Linked DNA regions of Struthio camelus. The protein of the gene in region 2 purifies or fractionates together with the protein of the main gene of each other region. This does not show direct contact. Links are inferred from orthologs where the notes say so. Each region holds a gene or a part of one and is shown on either strand. Other genes may lie near its edges.

The links.
Region 1: the proteins of TOLLIP (region 2) and CSTF1 purify together in Homo sapiens (co-immunoprecipitation; 3 studies listed by BioGRID and IntAct, with this or other methods). This does not show direct contact. The link is inferred for Struthio camelus from reciprocal best matches to the Homo sapiens genes TOLLIP and CSTF1.

The regions. Positions count from the first base shown.
Region 1 is NC_090959.1:12,392,510-12,401,569, reverse strand, and holds the start of CSTF1 (cleavage stimulation factor subunit 1), read right to left. Parts: upstream 4,501-9,060; 5' UTR 3,541-4,500; coding exon 3,421-3,540; intron 2,807-3,420; coding exon 2,633-2,806; intron 1,867-2,632; coding exon 1,671-1,866; intron 274-1,670; coding exon 1-273. Other genes in the region: AURKA (aurora kinase A), read left to right, coding at 5,118-5,171, 6,322-6,604, 7,195-7,273, 8,017-8,208. UniProt on the Homo sapiens protein: One of the multiple factors required for polyadenylation and 3'-end cleavage of mammalian pre-mRNAs. May be responsible for the interaction of CSTF with other factors to form a stable complex on the pre-mRNA.
Region 2 is NC_090946.1:17,358,757-17,369,024, forward strand, and holds the start of TOLLIP (toll-interacting protein), read right to left. Parts: upstream 4,603-10,268; 5' UTR 4,479-4,602; coding exon 4,446-4,478; intron 1-4,445. UniProt on the Homo sapiens protein: Component of the signaling pathway of IL-1 and Toll-like receptors. Inhibits cell activation by microbial products. Recruits IRAK1 to the IL-1 receptor complex. Inhibits IRAK1 phosphorylation and kinase activity.

The sequences.
Region 1 (9,060 bases), on a different chromosome or scaffold from region 2:
TAGGCATAGCACTTTTGGCCAACATTCTCTCTGTATCAAGAATTTTTATTGAGGCATCAGCTGATCCTGTAGCTATTAACTGTCCATCTCTGCTATATGTAGCTACACGACATGGTCCTTTATGAGACGTGACATAACAAGTTTCGTATTCAGAAGCCTCAGGAGACATGGTCTGTACATCTGCATCAAATTCTAAGTCAATTCCTGTGCCTGGAGCTACTGTATCGGACCGCCCAATTGCATATTGAACAGCACTGTCATCGTTCTCCATTCCTGAAAAGAGAGAAGTTGATGTACTTAAAATATGCTAACTTTCCCCATAGATGGATAGGCTGTGGCCAGATCTGTGCTACAGATTTCTCTAACATGTATACGAGGCAGGTGTTAGAAGAGATAAGCCCCTACTCAACAAAGCCAGGCTAGCAGAACACATTATACAGCAACACTTCTCACGAGAAATGAGAGCTAACTTGGCTACACTAGAGCACAACACGCTCTAGCAATTTTAGCTTTGTAATTTTAACCCTGGAAATACAACCAGCAAATATAATATTATAGTAAGTACTGATAAATGCACTAATAATCACTTTGGGAAGCCCTGGACAGACCTATTGCAAGCTTTTCTACAGAACGGAGAATCAAATCTCAACACTCTTACATGAGATTTAAAGTTAAAAACGGCAGCATTTACTAAGCCTTTTAGATTTTTGTTTTACTGGATCGAGGGGAAAAAAACCCATCCCACAAACCACCTCAGCATTGCTAATAAAAATCATTACTTCTGTTCGCACCCACCCTTCAGATTTAACTTTTTGATTTCCATCATGCATCTACAGGATAAAGACAGTTCAGCACTGGAACTCGTAATAAGGCAGGATGCAAGAATTTTCAGCTATGTGCCTAACTGTGCTCATCAACCTATCACAGGTGATAGAAAAGTTTTCATTGCTTTCATCTACAAAATGACTCTTGTATTCTTATTCCAGACAGATATAAAGCTTCATATATTTAAACCCTTGGAGCTCAACTAGTTCAGGCAGCAGAACCAGTTCAATTACAATACACAGAACACATGCAGCTATGTCCAGGCCTCTTGTTTTAACAGCAGCTCAGGTATTTTGACTATATACTATGGCACAGATGTACTCTCAGAGAGAGAGAGAGAGAGAGAGAGAGAAAATAGGCTGTACCCTTGCTGAGGCCCTAGAACATGAAGCTCATTTTTAATGAGACCAGTATATAAAGGCTAATGAACATGGCCTATGGAAGGGCTTAGTTCCTTTCCTACGCTTTCAGTGAGAATGATATTGAAAATTTTTCTACCATTGACAGAGAACTGTGAGGCTCACCCTACTTCTATTACTTCTGCAGACTCAATGATCCTGTTTACTGAAGCACATTTTTAGAAAGTTGTCAGTCACCCAGGACCCTGGACAGGTAATCTCACACGCTACAGAAGTTCAAACAAACAGATTTTGCCAACAGTCACTGATCTGTTTTGCATCCAGTGCATATCAAGAGAACAAATACACATGAAAACGTTATGGTACCGCTAAACTTAAGCTTTGCATTACCCAAGTACTCTCAGTAACATTAAACTCCTACCCCAAACGGATTTAACTACAGATCTAGAAACTGAACTTTTTATGATTTTTTTTATTCTAGCTTACCTAATTTAATTAGGTGCAGCAGTTGCTCAGATGGTGCACAGACTGATTGCGGTTTTATCTCATTTATCAAGCCATTGGCAATATTTATGTACCCATCATATAGCAGCTGACTAATGATTAGTTTATAAAGTTGCTGACGATCTTTCAAGCTGACTTTTGTTCTATACATTGTTAGCAAGGAATGCCTTGGAGGGGCCTGAAATAAACAAATACAAGAGAAAAATCACATACAAGAGCATTACATATAACAACTATGACCGTTGCATAAAGTACCTCCTGCTGAGCTTCACAGTAGGAGATCATAGCTAATGCTATCATGTTTCAGGTAAGATTCAGTATTAAATAGACAAAATTAAAAAATATAGGAAAACATAAGAAATCTGTTGCACTTATTTGCTGCAGAAATGAAAACATTGCCATTAAGTAAACGTTAACCATATTAAAGAGCAATAAAGAAAATGATGCGGTGAAAAAAAATCACAGCATTAGTTAGCAAAACTATCCTGTCAGTGTCTTTCATTTAGCCTCGCTAACACCAGCAGACAGGGGGACCTGGGCACGCAGAGCTAGGAAGATGATTAACAGAGAGCATTTTGACTTCCCTGCACATTAGCCACCCTAACACATACGTTCCCCCCTTTCATCCGAGGCTTTCACATCCTCTCCACACCTCCTCCCAGCCAGCACACGCTTCTCTTCGCCCTCTACACCCTCTCCCAGCCTCGAGTAATAAGACCAATAACCAATTTCGGGGACCAATAACCAGACAGGGAGGGGGCGTGGGGGAAAGGGACTGAATGAGGGCGGGGAGAGTGCTCAGCCGGAGCACAGCGGTCACAGGGAGCAGGCTTCAGACACCGGGGGCGGACAGGCAGCTTCGGGTGGGAGCTGCAGAGGACGAAACCCGGCCAAGGCAGCGGAGACGAAAGCAAGGGAGCGCCCAGAGCAGCGCCGGTACCTACCGACCCTTCCTTCTGCCTCCCTCGCTCTCCCCCTAAAATGGCGACCGGAGCCCTGAGCGCATCGATTGGCGGCGGCGGCGGCAGGGGAGGAGGTGGCGGCGGCGGCCGAGAGCGAAGAATGCTCCTCCGCGAAGGCTGCTGCATCGAGCGCCCGCAAATCGATTGGAGGCGACTCTTGAAGGAGAGAATTGCAGCATCACGTGACAGTGACACCACGCGCGCGCCCGGGCACTGGCAGGTCCCTCCGTCACGTGAGCGGTGACGCGCCAAGCGCGCCCCGAGCGCCCTCGGTGGGGGGGGGGACGGGGGGGAGAATGGGGGGCAGCGATGGGGCGGCCGGGGGGCCCCTCGGCGGCGTCTAGCGCGACCCGCCCCGCGGAGGGCAGCGCCCCGCCGGGAGAAGGCGCAGCAGTGTTCCCGGGTGGGATGCGGGAGGCAGGCCTAGGTGACCTGCGTGGGGGAGCCCCCTGGAGCTCAGGGCCGGGTCTTAGCAGGAGGGTGCCTCGTCTCAGGAGACCCGGGGCCAGGATTCTTTAGCGTCCCAGCTGCACAGCTCTGAAACGCTGCTTCTGCTGGGACACCAGTATCCCAAGCACGGGGACATCCACAGGGGCTAAAATAACAAAGTTTCTGGCATTGCTGCTCTGTGCTGCAGGCCTCTCTGATGAGTTCGACAACTTGGGCAGCACAGTAACAAGCACCTCACGCTGCCACACTTCACGGGCTCTCAGCAGGCTGAGAGCCTGTCCCAAGCGTACAAACACCACCCTCCCAAAAGTCCTACTCACGTCAGCCTCAAGAAACGGAAGTCGAAGTGGACGCGGGTCAAGGAGGGGGGATGCCATGCTACCCATGCCCCGTGGGAGCTGTCGTCTATCACATGCTGCAGCAACGCGACGACCTGACATCTTCTTTTTACCTATCCTGTATCACTTGTAAGAGCCGACACACCAGACTCGCCTTTGCGCTTGTTCTCAACGCTGCACAGCCAGTAAGAGTTGTCTTCAATCACGCTTCTTCAGAGGCTCAACGGACTCAAACTGGTTTTGGCTGTCGCTTGCCACTCAGTGGCCTGGGTCCTCCTCACAGGTGTGAGTAGGACCACTTGGGCAGCTGGCCACTGAGACAACACAACAGCCCCAAGCTCCTGTTACGCTTGCGCTCACAAACTGCACTGATCCTCCACTGTCACCGCTGTACCGCTGCCGCTCTGTGTCTCTTCAATACCTGCCGGGCTTTGGAAGCTGCCAGCAACCGCACGTCACCACTGGTGTAACACGACGGTCTGCTTTCCCCTTCACGCGTGTCTGCTGGCTGGTGAGGGTACCTCTGGCCAGGCGTCACCTCGCGGGCTGTGCGGTGGCGAGTGTCCCCTTCGCGCTCGTCCTCAAGAGCTCACGGCACGTGGAGCGCTGCCCTGGGCCGCACGTCCGGGCAACGCGAGGCAGAGGCCTGCTTCGCCCCTCTGCCTGTCCTGCGGGTCCGCCGGGCTAGGCAGCTGCCACCCGTGGCACCTTCCTCGCTGGCAGGACACAATGGCCCCGAGCCCCACTCACGCTCGGCTTCACGCGAGGTGGCAGCACAGCCTCTCCCTCAGCCCGAGCCGGAGGGTGCGTGTGTGGAGGAGGTGAGGGAAGCGGGTTCGTGCCTCACAGGATGCAGGACTAACCTGAAGCCCTTCCCCCCACAGCCGGCTGCACGCTCTGAGGCCTCAATGGCTGTGAGGAAGGGATGGTAGTTGTAGCGTTGCCACAGGTGGGTGGTCTGGACATACGCGATTTGCGTAACGGAAGACCCGGCCAAGCAGAGACTTGCGGAGAAAAGTGTGTAAACGGGGCGCCGATCCACGCACTTGGAGTACGGAAGGAGCCAGCGGCGGAGAGACGGTACGTAAAATACGCATGTAGCGCAAACACCGCCCTGGGGGCGGGCGAGTTGGCCCTACGCGGGATACGCAGCAGGCTGCCGTTGCGCATGCGCCCCAGAGGCTCACCACGACGAAGCGCAGCCTCGCAACGAGCGGAGCGTTTGGCGAGCCAATGGACGGGCGGGTCGGTGAAGAAGGAGCCAATCAGCGGGCGCGGACGGCGGGAGACGGGCCAATGGAAAGAGGCGGTAGTTTAAAGGGTATTTAAGGGAGGGCGGTTTGAATTCAAACAGCGTTGGCGGCCGGAGGGAGCCGAGGCCGGGGGTGAGCGGGCGCCCGGAGCCCGCGGCGGGGATGGGGCCCGGGGCCGTGTCGCGGAGGGCCGAGCCCGCGGGCGGTGCTGCCGGGAAGCGCAGGCTGGGAGCCGGGGGCAGGGTGCTGCGGCGCGGGAGCGCAGGCCCGGCCGCAGAGGCCGCCCGGCCCGCGAGGGAGCGGAGGGGCGCAGGCGGGGAGCGTCGGAGGGGAAGATGCGAGGCGCAGCGCTGCCCGAGGAGCTGGTCTGTGCTAACTGTGCCTCACGTGTAGGCTAACCTATATGTGCCCTTCTCCTCAGGCATCATGGACAAGAATACTAAAGAGAACCATTCTGGACACCATAGCTATGCTGCTAAGGTAAATAACTTGCTAGGTTGATTGTTCTGCTTTCTGTGATCATACAAGAGCTATAGACTTAAAACTGTGGTGACTACCACAGTTCTAAATAGTAAAAAAGGAAATTTGTCTTGAAGTAGCATTTCCTGTTTGCCAGAAACAAATTCCTATCTTTATCTTTCAGCTTCTCTTTTGGAGAGAACATTGCTCAAGGCTTGTTTGCCTTCTTGCTAGTATTGATATGTCATTCTCTAATTAAAACACTTTCCTGGTATCTTGCATATAATCTAATAGCCTTTAACTGAACAGCAAGTGCATGTGGGTAACTTATTCCAGATATGGTTTCCAAAAGCAAGTATTGTGTTAATGTCACTATTAGTATATCCATGTGGAGAGTGCTCAAGATAATCCTGACTGCATTATCTTTGCATACAGATACTTTCTCATTCTTTTAATTTAGAAACATGAGGCTTCAAAACTAGCATGAGTAAAACATATATATATATATATATGTTAATCAGGCTGTCAGTACACTTTCACTGAACTGAACCAGAAGATTAAGTAATGTCTAGGGGGAAAAAGAAGTAAAAATTATTACATAGGTATCATTAGAGGGTTTAAAATAAATGTGAGAAGCTAATTAGCAATATTTGAACTGAATTTTAGGCAAAGTATCCTAGAACAGCTAAGAATGGCTGAAGTATAAGCCTTAACTACCTGTAGCTTTCACTCCTTGGAAGGAAAAGATTAAAACCGGTTAACTAAAAATTACAGAATAAACTTTGTTCTGCTGAAATCTTCTTATGTTGCAAGGCAAATTAAGATGCATTCAAGAGAGCAGTGATTCAAAACAAAGCACAGTAGGCAAGTGGTAGGATTTGGAAGCAGGGGTCTGTCAGTCTTGCTACTGTTGACTGATACTCTTCAGACTTATGTGGAGTTCTTCCACTTGCTATAAGTGAATATGCTGTCCACAAGAAAATGTCAGCAGAGTAGTCTATAAATCAAATTTATCCTTAAAGCCTATGATCAGAATATCCTAACACCTCCCATTAGTGTGTCACATTCCCCTTTTACCCTGTCCCTAACTCATATATATGTTGTTTGAATGAGGCCATAAAGATTGTAGTATGCTCTTCCATAATTAGAATATCATGTTTTCTTTTTGAAGACTGTAAATCCCATCGGGGATGGCCCAAAACGTGTCCCTGTGCCTCAGCATTCTGCTCACAGCCGGTTACTAAGCAGTGGAGTCCAAGCACAACGTGTTCTATGTCCTTCGAACTTGGCCCAGCGAGTTCCTGTACAAACGCAAAAATCTGCACTGTCAAACCAAAAACTGTCCAACAACCAGACAGGGCAGCAGCCACGACCAAAATCTCTGGTCCAGCCAACTGCTAGGCCTCAAGTTCCAAGCAAGAACAATGAAAAACCTCAGCAGGCTCCAGGATCTGGTAATTAAGATGATGCATATGTGGTCAAATAGTTGTGACACTTGGGATGCTTCCATTCTATGAAGCAGAGTGCAGTACAAGAATTTTGAAGCTGATCTTAATGATATGTGGGAGTCTTGTACGGAAATATCTGGCTGCACCCAGAAACAGAATTGTAACGCTTGATCTTGGATGTTACTGCCAGGATTGCATGTTTAGAACTAATATGGGTGTTTCTTTGCTCTTGAAAAACTTCCAGCTACTTATTAGTCAACTGTGAATTAAAGAAATTGGCACTAATTCATCATGATCTTTATTACCAAAGATATTAAAATGAATAATAAAGTGCTGTATTGATGGTGGTGGGGAGGCGGGAAGCTTCTAAACATTTCTCTTGACTTAAAAAAGCTTTCTTGGAATTACATCTTGATAGCAGTGTAACTCAACTGCTATGCTGCCTTGCAATAGTAAGTTTATTTTTTAAAATATCACTGGATGGAATCTAAGAACTGTTGCTGATACTACACTGAGATTGTACTTGTTCCCCACATGCATTTTTTTGTACTGTGCTCATGGATTCGGTTCATAAGTTTCCCCTTATTCATATATAGCAAAAAATACTGAAGCAGAAAGCACATCTAAACAGAAAAATGAAGAGACCACTAAAAAGAAAAATGAAGAGACAAAGAAGTAAGTTGTTGTGTTCCTAAATGCTCCTAAATGCTAACAGAGCCCCATTTAATTAGGCTTTCTTTTAACTTCTAGGACTACATGCTACAACTAAGGAAATTAGCTGTAGATAAGTTCTAGTTAAGTACTCCAGCCCCTTGATTGAGAACAGTGTCCCAACACTTCATAGCTATAACATTTCTTAATGAAACTCTGGGAAAGCTTACTTGGACCTGAAAATTCTCAGGAACTGGAACTCCCTGTCATCTAAAGAAAAGCTTTTTGCTAAAAGATAACTCCCATAAGATAACTCTGATAAACACTAATCTAGTCACAGGATGTACAATTGAAAAATATGCCTCCTTCGTATGTGCAAGAGGTTGGAATCTGATTAGGGATGAATGAGACTCTTAGTATGGCTAGCTCTAAAACACAGTTCTGACATGCATTAGTAAGTGCGTGTGTATTAACTGTACTGAAATGTGCCTGGCTTGGTACATGCAGTTTTGACTTTTTTGCAGTAACACGTGGCTGATGTTAGCATCTCTACATGTAAGCTTTAAGAAGGAAGAGCCCAGCTTTCAGGCTTCTCTTCTGAAGTCTCAATGCATGTTTTGTTCTCTTGGTGGTGTTCCCTTAAGTACTACAATCTAGCTCAGGTCAGGAAGTAGTCTATTGAACATAAATGCTATTAATGTAAACCCAGAATACAAAAACTGGATACTTTGTGTGACTTTTGATACTTTAACCATATCTTTTTACAGAAGGCAGTGGTCTCTTGATGACTTTGAAATTGGTCGACCTTTGGGGAAAGGAAAATTTGGAAATGTATACCTGGCACGTGAAAAGCAGAGTAAATTTATTCTTGCATTGAAAGTGCTATTTAAAACGCAGTTGGAGGAAGCTGGAGTAGAACATCAGCTACGCAGAGAAGTTGAAATACAGTCTCATCTTAGGTAAAGTTCAGTAAACAATTATGGTTTTGGCCTAGCTTGTGGCCAAAGCAAAAAAACATAAAATAAGTTTGTTTCTGGTAACGTACAGTGACCTTTTGAAGACGAGGGCTATTTAAAAAAAAAAAATTCTCCCACCCTTGATATTGTTGTTAAGATTCTTGCCTGTCTGCACAAGAGTATAAATATTACCTTTGTCTAGTTTGCTGTGAAGCAACTACAGTAATAAAAATCTATCTTTCCCTGTTCCTGTTGGATTTATAGGGGTAACTCTGCAACTTCTCAGGCATCTAAGCTTGATTCTAGTGTTTAGCTTCCTGGAAAATAGGCCTAACTTGCCGAACAAATTGTGTTCCACAAAATCATTTCAAGCCTTTGAACTTGAATTCCAAAACAAAAGGAATAGGCACTTTCTAAATAGTAATCTAATCTTCCAGGTGCTGTAGAAAGATATGCTCAGGAAAACGTGCATTAGCTTAACTCTTGGCCAGCCTTCCTCCAAGACGGAGCCTAAACTGTTCCTATGATAATTAGCGCTTACCTGCTATTTAAGGTCTCATAATGGATATGTGAGGGTGAAATAATTCATGCTCCCACTAACACAAATGCTAGGGTTCCCACAGTATTGGGTTTGTTTCCCACGTTTAGCAATAGTGGCGCATAAACACATGATCATATAGCATGCCAAGAAAACCCTAGATTGCTGAGGAATACTTGCAAGATGCTGAAGACCAATGCTGACCTTTCCTGAAAGCGGTGGGAGGGGAAGCAGGAAAGGGAAATGAAGTTCATTATCTTGCCAGCCTGTAGTATGCACAGCAAAAATGCTGAGCATACACAGTAACATGAGTTTTT
Region 2 (10,268 bases):
ACAACGAAGGCTAACCTACTGTGCCGCAGCAACAAAAGCTTAGCCAGTACATTGAGAGAAGCAATTCTTCCCCTTTACTCAGGGCTCATTCGAGCACACCTGGAATACTGCATCCAGTTTTGGACCCACCAGTCAAAGAAAGGTGATAAACTTGAGCAAACCCAGCAAAGGGCCACCAAAACAGCCCACAAAAGTAGCTGAAGCACAGGACCTATGAGGAGAGGCTGAAGATTTGTCTAGACTAAAGGAGCCTTAGAGAGCACCCTAATAGCAGCCTTCCAGCCTCTGTGAGGAGGTTATCAAGAAAATAGGGCCAGGTTCTCTTCCGAGATGCAGGAGGAAAATAGACAATTGTCATAAACTGAAACAGCAGAGATTCACGTTGAAAAATCACCCACAGGGACAGTAAAGTATTGTAACAAATTGCCCAGGAGAGTTGCAGAATCTCTGTCTTCGGAGGTTTTGAAGACCCTACTGGACAAAACCCTGAGCAACCTGGTCTGTATTCAACTCTGACCATGCTTTGAGCAAGATGCTGGACTAGGCAGCCTCCTGAGGTCCCTTCTAACCTGAATTATTTTTTGATTCTATATAATTTATGTGGTAGTATGACATCTCCACTTTAGCTTCCACAGAACCGTAGTCACAGGCTCTACTTCAGCTTTTCAATTTAGAGATGAACAAAGGAAAGAATATAGCTGATTAAGTTGATTAAATTTACACACAATTTTTGTTTGTAAAATGACATCAAAATGAAAAACGTACTGGACTGAAAGATTCCAGACGTTTCTTCTCCCATTCTTATTATTCCTTCCTGTTGCCAGAAGTTCCCATCTACTTTGTTGCTTCATTTGATTCCACGTGTCTTCCCGTAAAGGCTTTGTGAATCTATAATCCTCATCTTGACACTATTTTCCCCTTCCCCCAAGTACTTGAACTATGTTTAGTTCTGACTGGATAGTTGACCACAAGCTATTTCCTCCAGATTTTCTCAGCACATCTAGATTTGTCCAGAATAGTAACATTCTCAGTCTCTCCAAAATACCAATGGATGCAATAGAAAATGATCCACTTAGAAGGTACCTTAAAATACTTTTCTGGATTTGTAAGAGAGCAAGAACTTTAAAGCGTTGTCAGTGCCATCCTGAACATTTTCTGTCAAAGGAGCGTGCCCCAGATCAAAGGACCACAGCCCTTAAGCATTAATTCACATTTTCCTTAGAATTATTTAGTGAAATCTTACTTGCTCAACTTTTTAAAGCAACTTTTGAAACCCAAATTGATTGCAGTGACGTCTTTATGACACTTTCGCCTCCATAAATTAGAATTTTAGTACTACATATACCTGCATTCTAATAAAACCAAAATAGCTAATAAAATACTCAATCGTATCCAGAATTATCAATGGCATTTCAGTGACAAGACTTTGCATTAGAAAATGCTCCTGAGACAGCATAACCTGCATTGACACTGGACAATTTAACAGCAATAGTTGCTTTGTCACCTTCGGTCAGGAGAGGAGAGGGGGAAAAAAAAAAAAAAAAAAAAGAGTACAAGACCTATGCAGTTAAATGACAGTATTAGGACAAGAACAGAGAACTAAACACATTGCCTGCCTATTAGAAGGTTTCCAATCATCAAAATAATGAATATTAGGAAAAACACTGGAGTAGAAATCTAATTAGTGCTAGGATGGCATTTGATCTAATTTTGGAGAACCTGACATATTTGCCAGCATAATGACTAATCAAGGGATCCATTTTGGGTATGCTTGGCTAACTAAGGAATCATAAATACACACAGTTTCAGTTCTCTCAGACTTAACTCTGCAGCCCAATTGGACTAGTTGGAAATCTCTCTCACTGCGAAAAGGTATCATTTAACAGCCATTACATAGCCAGCTATAGCTTTCAGCTTTCAAAAGCTGTTCAAAGATCACACAACAGGAAATCATGCTGATTCCCTACCTTCATGAAAATAGCTAGAGAAATTCTAGCAGAATATTTACCAACAGGCAGAAAGAATTCTAGTTCCTTTACAGCAAAAAGTGTTAAAAATTAACAGTAATAATAAGTGTTAATTAGTAACCAAAAAAAGCATAACTAGAAATCACAGGTATAAGAACAATATCAGCAAATGTATGGTAGTGTACTTTATTTTCTTATCTGCTGGAAACAACTAAGTATTTTCTTGCCTGTTCAAACAGAAAGAGACAGGAGTATCCTTCACTGCAGCGCTGAGAGAAATATTTTCTAGTCCTTTAGCACCATTTAGTGGCTATTCATTTGTAATGCAGCCTTATACAGAAACAAGTAGAACTGCATCTTCTGCTCCAGAGAAAAATCAGGAAAGGCAAGCATGTACTAAATGAGCGTTCTCAGTTTCAAATGGCAGCTTTTTTAAATACTGCAGGATTTAGTCATTCATTTGAAGACATTCAGACCTCCAAAGTGGTGAAGAACAATGAGAAAAGCATGCACAATAATGTTAGAACATAAGAGAGAAAAACTACGTGGACCTTTCAAATTGGCAGGCCTAAAGTCAATTCTAAGTAACAAGTATTTCCAAGAGATTATACAGGACTATCTGGGTACTTCTAAAATAGAATGACATCTAGAAGAATATTCTAAATGTAAGGAGATTGAGTTCCTTTAAACACTTGAGACAAACTATAGACAGATATATTTAAACAACTGCAAGTCTATAGCCAAGTCCAAAAGGTTCTCACTAAACTCTTAACCCAACAGGAGGATTTCACCAAACTAAAGCAAGCAAAGATTAGAAGTGCTCTACTGAATATGAACAAGGTACGAAGCACAATAGGCAAGTAGAACTTTTTTCAATAAGAAATATCACTCCTGTAGGGACAGAAATATCTGTACAATTTCATCTCTCTGCAAATCAGGGAGACTACTGTTCCAGCTTTAACCACTTAAGTTGTTAACACCTCCTTCAACCCTCACCTCCACATCAATTCCCTTCAGCCTCCCCATCCTTTTCCAAACACAGACTAAGGGATAACTAGAAGTGAAGTTACTTTTAAACAAAGTCGCATTATTTTGTCAAGTATTTATATTATTTTGCCTTTTTGAACAAACCTGTTACATATTGACAGAATTGTGCTGGGTTCAATCACACAGTCAACTCAACCACCAAGCCTCTGCGGGTAGCAACTACCTAATCCACCACAGATTCAGTCAGAACAACAACCTGCATCCTGCCATGCTGTTATCCAGAAACAGCAGAAAGCTTAATTCACCCATTTTACCTTAACTCTCCATTTAAAACTTTTATTCTGGCAACAGAGCTATCATCAGAATGTGCTGAAAAGGCATCTATTCTTGAAGAGCAGACAAATAAGGCATTTTAATGAATTATGTTAATAATCAAACACAGATCATCAAACATCAGACACAGATGCTGCTTTTCCAGAATAGCAATTTAGTAACTCGCTCCTGTTGGCCTTTCAGCAAGGCTGCATAGAAGATTAAAAAAAAAAAAAAAAAAGCTTTCTAGGAAATAAAATACAACAGTTTATGTTAAAAAAAAAAACCTTACTTTACCAGCAAAGCAGCAACGTATTGCCTGTTACTACCAGATCCTCCCAGAGACAGGGAACATACAGAAATAGCACATCAATGGAGGATAGGTGTTATACTACAGGGTTATACTTCATATCCGCAGTAAAGCATCCTGGCATTGGGGACTATTATTCCAGGGCATAACTAGACTATAAGACTTCCCAATAAACCATCAACACAAACTCCCAGAGACTGCTAAACTGGTTTTAAAACTGTTCAGTCCCCTCTCCCCCCCCCAGCTGCATATTACCGTGGCATAAGTCTTTCAGCATTTTGTTTCACGTTCTAGCTTTCAGTTGTCAACGCCAAGACGGGGATTACAAAAACTGCCGTCTGAAACTGCGCAGCCCACCCATGGTACTACAAGGCTCTACTCCACTTTTAAGAGAAAGAGCTTTGCTTCAGTTTAGATCGTTCCCTTCCTTAGAAGGGCCACAGACAAAGAACAAGCAGAATAGCCTCTCCAAGCCCCGCATGCACAGACGGGGGACTCCCCCCTCCCTTCTTTCCCAAAGCCTTTTCGCAAGGCGGAGAGCTGAGAGAAGAGGCAGACTCCCCCCCCCGCCCCCCCCCCCCCACACACCCAACAGTATCATGGCAGGCTGGAGATGGAGGTCTTTCCTCTCCTCTCCCCCGCACCCCCTTGCTATGGGCTGCGACTGGGGGAAGGGAAGGAGGCAAGAAGGGTGAGTCACCTTCCCACTGAGGCCCACTAGCAGGAGTCGTGTCGAAGACGGGGAGGACAGAGACTGAGGCCCAGGAGGGTCCAAGCCGGGCCTCGCCAGCCCAACCCAGGACACTCGTAAGGATAAGAGGATAAAATCTTCCCTAGGACCTAACAGCAACCTTCGAAGCCGCACTCACCGGGCCCCGCTGGGTAGTGACAGTGGTCGCCATAGCGCCTCCCTCGCACCGAGACCCTTCCTTTCGCCCCGCCAGGCCGCCGCCGCTGCTACCGTTACTGCTTCAACAGCCGCCGCTAACCGTCACTCAGCGCGAGACTCCCGAGTCAGCTGATCCCGGCCGCGCCCCGCCCACCTCCTCCCTCGGCGCCGCGCGTGCTTCCAGCACCGCGCTGCCCCCGCCCCTTCTGGTGGTTTCCAAAGACACTAGGCACGCAGCGTCGCACGCATGCGCCTAAACGCCAACGGGCCGGGGGGGAAGAAGGGGGAGGGAAAACGCGCCTTCCCCCTTCCCCCCCCCCGGCCCCTTCCTGCGCATGCGCCTATCGCCTAACCGGCAGGAGGGGGGAGAACGAGCGAGCTTGTCGTGCGCATGCGCCCTGCTGCTCTGCACCCTGCGCAAGGGCGGCACGGCCGCGCGGGGGCGCCGCGGCTCCGGCGAGGGGCGGCTAATGGCGGCGGCGGCCGAGGGGGTGTGGGGGTTTCGTTGCCGCCCCCGGGGTTCCCCCCCCCGCCTCTTCCTGCAGCTCTCCGGGCGCGGAGGGGGATTGCCGTGCCTGGCAGTCCCGGGCTTGTCCACAGGCGGGTGGGACGCGGGGGAGGAAGCGGCTTTTTTTTTTTTTTGGCCTCGCCCTGCCCTGTCGTCTGGGTAGCTGGCCCCGTTTTAACCGTTTTTCCGAAGGTTGTTGGCGTTTGACCTCCTGCGGCTGGCTGCGCCCGTGCAGGCTTTTCCAGAGCAGAAGCAGCTTTAATATTCACCTCAGTGCTGCTCTGGGAGATAAAATCTGATCATTTCAAAGCCTATTTAAATAGCATAACCGTTTCCTGTTGTTAGGATCTGCTGCATGAATTTGCTCTGTTAATTAAAATTCTAGTGCAGATTTCAGCAGCTGGAAATAGAACAGTGCAATTAGGAACACGCCAAATATAGCACTGATTTTTTTTTTCTCCCCCCACAGTGCCATAACTTTTACGTGTGGCGGGAAGGGCCTCATCTTTTTACTTGTGTCTTGATACTCAGAAAAATGAGTACTGCAGGATATAATTGATTAGGAGTCATTGAACAAAAATAGTCGACGCCAGATGCAAGTCAGCGAGCCAGTAAAAGAGAAAGGCTGCAATAAGCTCTGCTGCTGCTACCAACAGTTCCTCTGTTGGAACTAGAATTCAAGTCAACCTACAGAACCGTGGATGAAGCAAATAATCCTTCCCTTGTCCCTGCCATCGGAAAAGAGGCTCAAACCTGAAAAGACGTGATTGTGGTTTTAAAAAAGAAAGGTGAATTCACCCCTCTTATTTTTGGGGTTTAAGAAAAGATCGACTACTACAAACTGAGGCCGTGAGTCACTCAGACACCAGTGAGCTGTTACTCGTATCCAGAGACTGTGGGCGTAGACATTTTTGCAGGGGATAAGGGTTTATTTTCTTGGAGGAAGGTAAAGGGACCTGATTTTTTCATTGCATAGGCCTTCCAGCAGAGATAGTGCAGTACAAGAAGGGGGCAATGCAATGTAAAATTAAGTCAAGTGATTATAGTTTAAGAACATTTCACATCTTACAGTGTCAGATGTGCAGCCTGTTAGTATGAAGCTTATGTCAATACATGCAGTTACATTAGTTTATAACAAATGCTGTGTTGGTATAGCCTCTTTTGGTAGATTAAAAGAAATAAACATTGCTTCTCTAAATTCTGTGCACCGTATAACTATATACATGCAAGAAAGCTTCAGTGATTAAATGCAGAAGTCTTTAAAGCCAGCATGGTTAAAATGGTACAAAAACCCCATACAGGTGAGGGAAGAAAATCAGTGCTTATCTTCATAATTACAATCTTCTGTCATGAAGGAAGGTTGGAGGGAAAAGAATATTAACAAATCTTAACAGCTATTCCTATGTCTATACTACAGAAGCTAGGAAATAACAGTTTATTGTAACTGTTCCTGGCTTATTTACTTACCTGTGTATCACTCTAACTAAGGAGAGCTGGGAAAGTCACAAGAATTTCAGACATTAGACATGAGGTAACATTATTGTCTCTATATAATTTATTTCAACAGAAAAAAGGGTAGTAGTATTAATTCAGAGATTCCTGAGATTTATATTCCTCGCACATAGAGATTTGCAGGGACTAGAGTGAACATTGTGCATACCTAACTACCACCATTTTCTAAGTGCATCTTTTATTTCCTTTTTTATTATTATTCTTCCTAGGAAATAAACTTTTTCCAACATAGAATCTACTCACTTAATTTTAATCACCTTTTTCAATCTGTGCAGTAAAGGATCTGTTGTTAAACCAGCTCTCCTTAGGTTATATTATTTTCTGAAGGGGTCCTGAAAACCCTACAAAAACACCAGTTTTGCCATCTGGTGGACATCCACAAGAATAGCAAGTAGCCTTCCACCAGGAGAGACAGGTGTTCTTGTTTCCCCAAGTGCAGTATCACCACAAATAGGAAGCACTGGTGCAAAAACATTAGGCAAGGCTTCTGAAGTGAATCTGTAATTAAAGTGGGAATGTAAGCCGTGGGAAAGGTGAGAGAACAAAAGTCATAAAACCTTGTTACCCGGAACAGATGGGCATCATTTAAAAAAAAAAAGGTTGAAAGGTAATTAAAGAAGCTATAATGACAATAAATTACATTTATCTTGTCATAAAAATTGAAACGTCAGTTTCTCCTATATCTTTTGTTCTGATTCTCAGTCTCTTTTCTGTCCTTTTCAGTTCTTCATCTGTCCATAGTCTCCCCTTCCCAAATCTTCTTTTTCCCTTTGTTCTCTGTTCTTTCCTATATGCTTCCACCCCTTTTGCGCCTCCTCTCAATCCTCTCTTTTGCTCTGACCCTCTGTTTAGTCCCCTACATTCTTCTCTTTAAACATGCTTCCTACAGATTTGTCGCAAGTCTCTTTCTTGAAGTTCCACTCTGAGTTTTCGGTTCCTGTCCTTCATAACCTTATCTCCTTGTTCCTGAGCAAGAGGCAGCTCATGTTTCTGAGATCTACATATGCTGCTTTGCTAATATCAGGACGAGTGCCACAGATAATTATTACCTTCACTGAAACCTTTACCTGGTGGGGTCATTAATGTGGTTTATTCCCTATATCTTATGAAATTTATAAGAGTTTAGTATCTCTGCAACCAGTAAGTAAAAATTAATGGAAATTGGACACAAGGTTCAAAAGTTCCTGGGGGACATGCAGAGACAAAGAAATATATGTTCACATAGTGTGATTGCTTGAAAATTATCAAGTAGGCATTCCTCCCTAGAGCGGCTCCAGAATCTGGAAGTGTAGATATTCTATATGCTTTTCTTCATAAAACAGAAACTGATGTTTCATCGAGAGAACAGACAAACGCACACAGCGCTGCCCTCCACTGAGGAACGGTTACAGCAGAATTCTTGCCAAATCCATTTTGTACTTGTTCACAAAACCAGAACGGACACCCCAAAGGCTGAGGAGAGCCGAATGCTATGGAGGAGATAGGGAACAGGAAGTTAGAGTGGGACAGTGTCCAACTTTTTGACGTGTATTTATTTAGCGCTCAGCATTGGTATTTAGCTCCAAAACTGAAATCTATCAGTTCCATAAAAATATAATAATTAGTGTGATGATAGCTGTATATTTGTACCTCTTCAGCAGTGCCCTTTTAGGAAAGTCAAGTGTACCAATTTACTTAAGATAAGCATCTTTACCCTCTTAAGATGTATGGCAGAATCCTTCAATTAGTAAGTCAAGTTCAAACTGTTAGCTAATCTCTTTTCCAGGTAACCTTCACAAGCAAATTGGATGGTTAAGCTTTATGCCATTTTCTATCTTGATAATGAGCTCCTGTCATGATACCAAGGGAGTTCCCACAGTCATTTAAACCCAGTCTGTTTGTTGGCACTCACAAAGACAGTGGAGTCACAGGAGTGCGTTTTTGAATGCCTTCGTAGCTGAACTAAAGCTGGCGCATAAAAACAGAACAAATCATAGCTGTGCCGTTTAGTTCGCGGACATTAATTTGGGCACTGCAGAGCTTGGAGATGGATCTCACAGGAAAATAGCAAAACAAGTTTTAGGTTAAGTTTTGTAGGTTTTATAAGCCTACAAGAATACTGCAGGATGGATATGCATCACTTTTTGGGTGTCAGGCAAGACCAGCCCCTTTTGCCATGTCCCCTGAGGGCTTCAGATGATTCTGCTGCATGGGAAAAGGATGCATCTTTTACAAACTGCACAGCCCAGTTCCACCACTTTCTTGCAGTCACTCAAAGCCCAGTTGGAGGTAAGCAGAAGACAAGGCTGAAGGTGAAGGGCTTCATGGATCCAGGCCATTCCAGAGTGGAAGTGCAGGAAAAGGAAAGGGATGTTGCAGGCTTCAAGCTACATAAAAGCCTGTGGAGTCCTGGTGTGCTGAGCTCAGCTACTCGAGATGTATTTGGCCTTACCTAGGTGCTGAACACAGCACTGAACACACAACAGAGTTCAATGCTAATCCTTTGTTCATGGTACCAGCTCAAGCTTGGTGATGCACAACAGAGCTGAAACAATAACATGGAAATCCCAGATGGTATTCAGGCTGGCTGTAACGAACAATAATTTCCACTTCAGTACCATGCAAGGAACTCACAGTGCATTGCAAGCTTTAATTAATCCTCACAGTCCAGTTGGGATGCAGAAGGATTACATCCCTCATCACCGAAAGAAAGAGCTCCAGCATGAAACATGGCAACTCTGTAACATACACAACACCACTACCAAAGAATTTTAGCCAGGGTGCATACTGAACTGAAATTACAGGGGAATTTAAGTGAATACAATGAAGAGAACAAGAATTAAAAGTAAACGGAAGCTCAAAATCATCCCCCTCGCCGACACCAGGCCATGAAACAGAGACATTAGAAAAAATAGCAGACAACTTACCGCAATCACAACCACAGCATAATTTCATACCACAGGGTCATAGTTACTGATTGAACTAGATTAGTATTGGCAAAAGTGTTGTTCAAGCAATTGCGGGGGATTCTAGCAGAAAAACTGAAGCTGCTGCCGAGCAGCTAATAAGTGGCTGTTCTTCAGTCATGCTGCACTCAAAATAGCTTTCCAACAGGGGAAAAGCAAATTCTATTGCCTTCAACACCTGGTTGAGCAACTTAATAGGGACAAAATTGAAAGTTAGAGCTGAATCATTATTTATTTTATAACTACATCTTCATCACGCAGTCCACTCCAAGATGGGAGTTATTTCATTTCAAATCAAGTTCATGCCAGGTTTTTCTGTAGGCTTATTCAGCACAAAGGTGAGGAGAAGGTTCTTTGAAAACAATTTCAGATGGCAGCTGCTTCAGAGGAGCAGAGCAATCTGCAATCATCAGGAAGAAAATTTTTCCCTTTTCTCCAGTTCCCCTTTGCTTTTCCTGAACTGTATTTCTGAAGTGTATTTATAATGCACGAGGAAAATGGTAGAAGTGCAAAGACTATATTTAGCGCTATTTGGGTAACATGACAATTCCCAGAGAGTCTATCAAAAGTGATAAGAATAGTTATGTGAGCAAAATGAACAGGGCTCTGTCCCGTCTACAACAGACAAAGAAATCAGCTTATTCCTCTCCACACTGATATTACCTCCTATGTATTTGAAAACTGCTGTTATTTTACCTCTCAGTTTTCTTTTCTCTGAAGTTCAGCTGTTCGGATGAAGTTCAGTCTAAACTTAAATAATTCAATTCCTGCAACCTTTCCTTATGAGTCAATTTTTATGAAGCCTGATGATTACTGTTGTCTTCCTCTGGCTTTTTTT